2 linked regions of the Arabidopsis thaliana genome follow. The protein of the gene in region 2 interacts with the protein of the main gene of each other region in a pairwise test. Each region holds a gene or a part of one and is shown on either strand. Other genes may lie near its edges.

Evidence for each region.
Region 1: the proteins of AT2G30160 (region 2) and ABCB26 interact in a protein complementation assay, tested with the Arabidopsis thaliana proteins (one large-scale study listed by BioGRID).

What each region holds. Positions count from the first base shown.
Region 1 is NC_003070.9:26,620,151-26,623,905, forward strand, and holds the start of ABCB26 (transporter associated with antigen processing protein 1), read left to right. Parts: upstream 1-1,748; 5' UTR 1,749-1,935; coding exon 1,936-2,385; intron 2,386-2,508; coding exon 2,509-2,636; coding exon of another isoform or gene 2,637-2,647; intron 2,648-2,790; coding exon 2,791-2,833; intron 2,834-2,922; coding exon 2,923-2,967; intron 2,968-3,065; coding exon 3,066-3,188; intron 3,189-3,278; coding exon 3,279-3,382; intron 3,383-3,498; coding exon 3,499-3,553; intron 3,554-3,635; coding exon 3,636-3,706; intron 3,707-3,755. Other genes in the region: AT1G70590 (F-box family protein), read left to right, coding at 1-9; AT1G70600 (Ribosomal protein L18e/L15 superfamily protein), read right to left, coding at 1,018-1,458.
Region 2 is NC_003071.7:12,875,854-12,879,608, reverse strand, and holds the start of AT2G30160 (Mitochondrial substrate carrier family protein), read right to left. Parts: upstream 1,811-3,755; 5' UTR 1,594-1,810; coding exon 805-1,593; intron 439-804; coding exon 232-438; 3' UTR 1-231. Other genes in the region: AT2G30150 (UDP-Glycosyltransferase superfamily protein), read right to left, coding at 3,487-3,755.

The sequences.
Region 1 (3,755 bases), on a different chromosome or scaffold from region 2:
ACTCGATGACTCCTATCATTTATTTCAGTGAGGTCTAGTGATTGGCTAGTTACATGTCCATAACTTAAATTCCAATTTGACAATGTATCAATGACAAAACCTTATTTCAGATTTCTACTTTTAGTTCGTACTCATGTTTTAATCCAAATGGTGCGACTGATAAATTTGTATCCACACAATACCACCAAAATTGTAAATCCGCGTTTGCAGTAGGATAATAAATATTACAGATTGTTTCGATTTTGGTTTTCTTTTGTGGGTTTGAAATGTTCCATGGTGTAGTGTACAAGTAATGATGATTTGAAAACACAAACTTTATATGAATAACATGTAAACCAAGCTTATCCCAAACATATGCGATATGATAAATATCATACGGTATATCATTTCTCATAGCACGACACTGAGCGTACCATTTGAAAAATTCAACGATTTCTTCAGATCTTGCTTGAAAATAAAGTTTGAATCTCAAAACTCCGTTCAAAATAGAAGAATATCAAAAACACGATGGATACAGTATAATATCCAAACACATTATTTTTTCGTCCAAATCTATGTGACTATGTTGACTCCGTTCAAATCTATGTGACAATCTGTACTATTGGGAAATTTGAAATGCATTTCCGCATATTTACGTAAATACATTACTAAGCAAAATCACATTCTAGCTGTTTCAACGTTACATATAACTAATCAAATGCAACAACACCTTCTCACTTTGATGACAATCGAACATCCAATTAAAAATTCAACAAGAACAATGCATATGTATGGTAGAAACAATCACAACGAGTTAAAAGGATCGTAACGAATGAATCATGACAGACAATTAAACCAGCATACGCAATTATAAGTCTGAATTCGGAATACCAAACATTTATCAAAATCCAACAAAAGGTTCATAAAACTACTAACTTTAAAGAGATCTCGCTCTTTCCAAAATCCAAAAGACAACAAAAGATGATAAAACTCCATAGAAGATTCAAAAACAGAGTTAAGCAAATAAATTCACCTAACTTAAGCAGTAAGCACAACAGCACCACCAGCTTCCTTAATCTTCTTCTCAGCAGTCTTCGAAATAAGCTTCGCCTTCACAACGAACGGCTTGTTCTCAGGCAAATGACCTTTACCCAAAACCTTGAAGAAACCATGTTGAGTCACATCGATCAACGGAACATTGTCCTTGGTTGATTTCGCCTTCACATCTTCAGGGACGAGTGACCAAAGCTTGTCGAGGTTAACGATTGGGCAGAAGAACTTGTTCCTCAGCTTGTGGAAATACCTCATACCAACTTTACCGAAGTAACCTGGATGGTACTTGTCGAAGAGGATCCTGTGGTGATGCATACCTCCAGCGTTACCACGACCTCCGGGATGCTTACGGTGCTTACCGATACGCCCATGTCCGGCGCTGACGTGACCTCTCTTCTTCCTGTTCTTCTTGAATCTGGTTGTCATTTTCGCCGATCTGCTACACTCTCCTCCCTCCCTTTCTCTCTTTGCGGCTAGGGTTTCTTAAGATATCACTGAGTTTATAAAGACGATAAGGATTTTTACGTTTCCTATTTTACCCTCTAGGGTTTACGACATTTTGGGCTATTTAGTTATAACGCGAGATGGGCCTTTAGGCCCGATTATATCGTAGAGGGGGAAGAGAGATCATCTACCACAACCACATGATTGAACCTTCACGCGCCTTTCTGACGCGCCGGTGTTGTTGTTGTTACCATGTGGTTCATGCCTTCGGTGGTGGATCTCCGTGGGTTCCACCTCGGTTTATTTTGGTTGACACGATTCTTCCTTACGTGACGTCTTTCTTCTTCAATTTCGAAACGACGCGTTTTAATTCTTCTTCTGCATTTCATATGAACCAAGGAAAAAGCTTGAAGCGTCGTGACTCGTGAAGCTTCTTCATCTTTAGTCCACCGAACATAAATGGCTCAGCAAGTACTCGGCTGCACGAGCCGCCCCATCCGCGTTTCTCTTCACCGGTGTTCTGTTATTACCACCAGTGACACTATCAGAAGGAAGAATCTCCGATTCGTTAGAAACCCGAGATTGTCGTTTTCTCTTCAATCTTCAACTAGAAATTATCGTCTGCCTTCGATTAATTGCTCGACGGTGAATGGAGCAGTAGCGGAAACTGCGGAATATTACGAAGGAGAAGGAGATAACGTTTCACTTGCTGAGAAAATCCGGCAATGTATTGATTTCCTCCGGACGATTTTACCAGGTGGAAGCTGGTGGAGTTTCTCCGATGAAGTTGATGGTAGGTTCATTGCTAAGCCTGTGACTGTTTGGCGTGCGTTAAGTCGGATGTGGGAACTTGTGGCTGAGGATCGTTGGGTTATCTTCGCTGCGTTTTCCACTCTTATAGTAGCCGCGGTGCGTGGTTCTTCCTTGGTTATGTATTTGTAGAAGTATTCTGAATCTCTACTTAGAAATTCTTAGTTCTAATGAGGAATCAGAATCGTCCTTTTCTTATACATTTTGTTTACTTGTTTACAGCTTTCAGAGATAACTATTCCGCATTTTTTAACAGCTTCGATCTTCTCGGCACAAAGTGGTGATATCGCTGTGTTTCATCGAAATGTCAAGCTCTTGGTTACGTTATGTGTTACTTCAGGCATTTGCAGGTCAAGATCTTGTATGATCAAACACTTGTCTCTGGTTTTATTTGGTTTCAAGTTGAATTAGAGAGTTACTCTTGCTGTCTAACCAACTTGTTGTTTTTGAGATTCTTTTATAAAAGGATTTCCATCTGACTCTTTGTTCAACTCATAATTTCAGTGGCATACGAGGATGCTTCTTTGGGATTGCTAACATGATACTTGTGAGTTCCTTTTTATTTTCTGCTTAAATCTACTCAGTAGTCTTACCTTCTCAGAACATGATATGATGGGATCTCACCCTACTCTGTAGGTGAAACGAATGAGGGAAACACTATACTCCACTCTTCTCTTCCAGGTCCTGAAAGTTTCTAGCTGTTTTGAATCTTGGTAGCTCATGTTTACCTTTAATATCTTTTTAGCTACTTTCGTTAACTTGGCTGGATTTTGCATCAGGATATATCATTTTTCGACTCTCAAACTGTTGGTGACTTAACAAGCAGACTTGGCTCAGACTGTCAGCAAGTCTCGAGGGTCATCGGAAATGATCTGAACATGATATTTCGCAATGTTCTTCAGGTCCTCTGCTACAATATAATTTCCATCTCGCCTGAAGTGTGTTTTTTGCATGGTTGACTTCTGAATGTATGTTTACCTTCTTTCTTTTAGGGTACAGGGGCATTGATTTATTTGCTAATTTTGTCTTGGCCCCTTGGGCTGTGCACATTGGTGATATGCTGTATTTTGGCTGCGGTTATGTTCGTTTATGGGATGTGAGATTCTACCAAAACTTGTCTCACTTTTATTAAGAATACTAATCTGTGAAGATATAATTGATTATACACCTGGCAGCTGAAACTGATACTTAAGCCATCTGGTCATGTTGTAGGTACCAAAAGAAGACAGCGAAGCTAATTCAGGAGATCACAGCTTCTGCAAATGAAGTAGATTGCTCAAAAACGCTTATCGTAACTTGTCTTATATGCAATGAATTCTTTCGTTAATAACTGCTCTGTGATCTTCAAGGTCGCTCAAGAGACATACTCTTTGATGAGAACCGTTCGTGTATATGGGACAGAGAAGCAAGAGTTTAAAAGGTGCGATCTGTTTCCATGAAAACCATTGACAGTCTCTTTTTTCTTTATT
Region 2 (3,755 bases):
AATAAAAGTACAAAATTTCTCTATCAATGCAAACCAGAAAAAAGGCCTTGGGGTTGTTGTAACTCTAATCTGATAACATTATTGCGTGAAGAAAACAAATAAATTATACAAACAGAGATCTTCTCTAAGAGCTAGTGTTAATACTAACCAACCAGTAGCTAGCTCTATGAAGAATCAATGACCTGAATCAGGCAAGTAAATTATGCCAAACGCATGTATGTTTGTGTCTTTTCAAGCTGCGTTTGCTTCACCATTGAGATCTTGAAAGAAAGATTTGACTGTTTCATAAGTGGACCAGCAAATCGCAGCTGCTGGAGCATGGAAGAGCATTCTTGGTAGCCATCCTCTAGCAAGTCCTCTATAACCGTCTTTCTTCACTATTGTACGGAACACATCGCTTATTGAACTGCTCTTGAAACGGTCACAACCACACACACCCTGAAACATCACCACAAACAAACTTCTCAGAACAAACAAAACAACCCAAATCCTATGAAATAGCTATTGACCAAGTATTCTAAACCACAAATATAGAAACATTATCTATGCGACTTTCACATGTAAATTCAGTAATATTAAGTTTTATGACCATAGTTCTAACAATGCTTGATGCAATCTACATGTTACCTATAAAATCATACTCGTGAAATCACAAAATATCCAAAGAGAAGAAAGAAGATATCTTTCTTCATTCAAGTGATCTATAGGATCAAGAGACAACTACTTAAAGTAGCTTGGCCAATCTATAACCACATTAGCTATCAGATACTTAAAAGTCAGTAGCTTTAGAGATATTTCAATCACCTGACATTGCAACTGCGTCTTAACAACATCAAGCGGAGTAGTTACAGCAGCCGCTAACCCACCAGCCGCAGCTCCAGCAGTAGCATAAATCAACCAACCTTCCTCATCCTCTGCTCCAACAGCATGCTCAGGCAACATCTCCCTCAAACCTCTCTTAACCGCCTCATAAGTAGTGAAATGCACAGCGGTAAACGGAGCATTCATCAACACAGTAGTTCTATACGAAGCGTAAAAAGCACCAAACCCTTCCTCACGCGTTACTCTCTTGATACAATCCCAAACTCCTTTATAAGTTCCATTCCCAATTTGCAACCTTTGCTTAACCATATCCATTGGAGTAAACACAGCATCACTAGATATAGTAGCGAAAACACCGGAAATAGCGTGTGCAGCAGAGTTATTAGGGTTTCCACCGGATAAAAACTTCTTAGAGACTTCATAGAATGAGAAATAAACAGCGTGAGCTGGTCCAGCACCAAGTCCCATAGCCCAAATACCTCTATATAAAGCAGAAGGTCCATCGGTTTTGATAATTGAACGGAAAGCTTGACGGATTCCGATTGGTTTAATCGGACATGAACGAAGAGCTTGCATATGGGTTTTGACTGTATCTACTGGAAACATAGCCATGTGTTCGACTGAGCCAGCGATTGAACCGGCGACCATTAGTTGCCAGAATTTAAGAGTTGTGTTTTGAGCTGGAACGATGATTGCTGGATGAAAATCCGGTGGTTGTGGGATTGGACGGAGATCGGATTCTGGGAATTTGGTTGTTGCTTCTGTTGCCATTGTTTAGAATTGATTGAGAGAAAGGTTTGAGCTTTTAGGGAGATTAGGAGGAAGATGAATCTGAAGGAGGAGAGGTTTGGTTAAATTAGGGTTCCGAGAAGATTGGAGAAATGACCAAATCTGGAGATTTCTCCGACCAGAGAGAGAGGATGCGGCGGTTAAACTAAAGACAAAGCATGGGAGAAACCTCTGCCTTGTCTTGTGGGCTTTAACATCTTTTTCCCCAAGTAAAAATATATTTTTTGCCTTTTTACGTTTTTGCCTCTTTAGTGTTTTTTACCAAAACAAAAACGTACTTTTTTACTTTTTTTTTTTTTTTAAATCGTACTTTAATTTAAGCGATATGAACCTAACCAAAAAAACTTATTAGATTATGTTTATATTATGAATACGAATATTATTTTTTTGTCATCGTAAATTTTTAAAACTTTGGTAGAATTTAAATGTACACAAGTGGAAAAAAATTTATCCCTTGAAAACTAATAAGTGTTATCTATATTATTAATTGAGAAGTATTGTATGAACTACAACATTGTAAGGGTAGTTTAAAATTAAGTAAATGAATTTTTGCATGGGTAGTTTAGTAAATTAACAATCACTACAACAAAATAAATATCTTGGATTTTGTTCTTTTAAAAAATCGACTTTAAAATCAATATATTCATAATTACCCAATCCCTCGATTTTTAAATATACAAATTATTTTTAAATATATTAATCCAAGATGTACCACATGTCAATCCCTCGATTTTTTTATTATATTACAATAACAATATTTAAAATAACAAAATAATTTTTCATTTTACGGAATGAAATTATATGGTGGGATGAGTTTGAGTTGATATTAATAAAGGACGATAATCTACGAGTGAAATTTTAGAATTAATAATTATAACATAATTATATATTCTTAAACATTAAACAAAATAAACAATATTTACAAAATAACTATATCTTAAAATTTGAATTTTTAGTTACAAAAAAATCGACCAAAGGTGTACCACGGAGAAAATTTTACATTATATCATCTAATTGATCAAATTTCAAACAAAAACAATCAATTTATATATACATCAAACTAACAAAAATACACAAATTTTCTAAATATCTCTATATTATTCTACAAATCGAAACAAATCTAACAATCTATTTACTATGCAAAATACAAATAAAATATAAATAATATAAATTACAAAAAATAGCTATTTTATCATAAATAACACTTTACACTTTTTATGCATATTATAATTTATACACTATAATATCTTTCACTAAAAATATATTCCAATACATTTTTAAAAATATGAAACCCCGCACGTATACGTGCGGGTCAGAATCTAGTTATTTATAAACCGATAATTCTTAAAAACGAAGAACTCAAATCAAAAATAAAGTAAAAAAAAAATTGTCCTAAAGCATTAGATATCAAGTAAAATATTAAATTTACTGCAAAATATGTTAAAATATTGGTAGATAAAACATGAGATGTGTGAAAATCATTCCTATTAAGATCAGATTTTAGAATTTTATGCAGAATTGGAGTATTTTCTCTAACAAACTGAATAAAATCTTTACAAATCTACAGCTACAGCTTACACTTACATCCAATATTCTACAGCAAATAATCTACAGCTATAGTGTAACCAATCAGCCAGTAAGCTTTACCAAAATCAATTCATTTCATAAATTATTTTCTATATTTGTCTCCTCACAATTCATTTCCAAAGTCAAACAAAAATTAGGCACACACGAGATTAAGCTCTACCAAAGAGTCTAACAAATGAACTTATAAATAACAGTTTTACAAACAATCTTAAATCTCTACAAAGTTTGAATCTTTAACAAACTTATACAAATACTAATATAGACTTGAATCATTAACAACAATAGAACTCACACGATCTTAGTAATATCTTTAATGAAAGCATCGATGTTAGCATCAGAAGAACCACCTTTCGCAACCGCTCCACGACATATCTCACTGAGATCACAAGTCCTTCTTCTCATCTCTTTCCCTTCTTCACTCTCTCCATCCATAAACCTTTTTACCAATTCCTTGATCTCATCACTCACTATCAACAACTCCATCTGCTTCTTCCTCTCGATCCCCATTCCAACTCTCCACTCCTCAACAATCATCTTAGCATTCAGAAACTGATCCC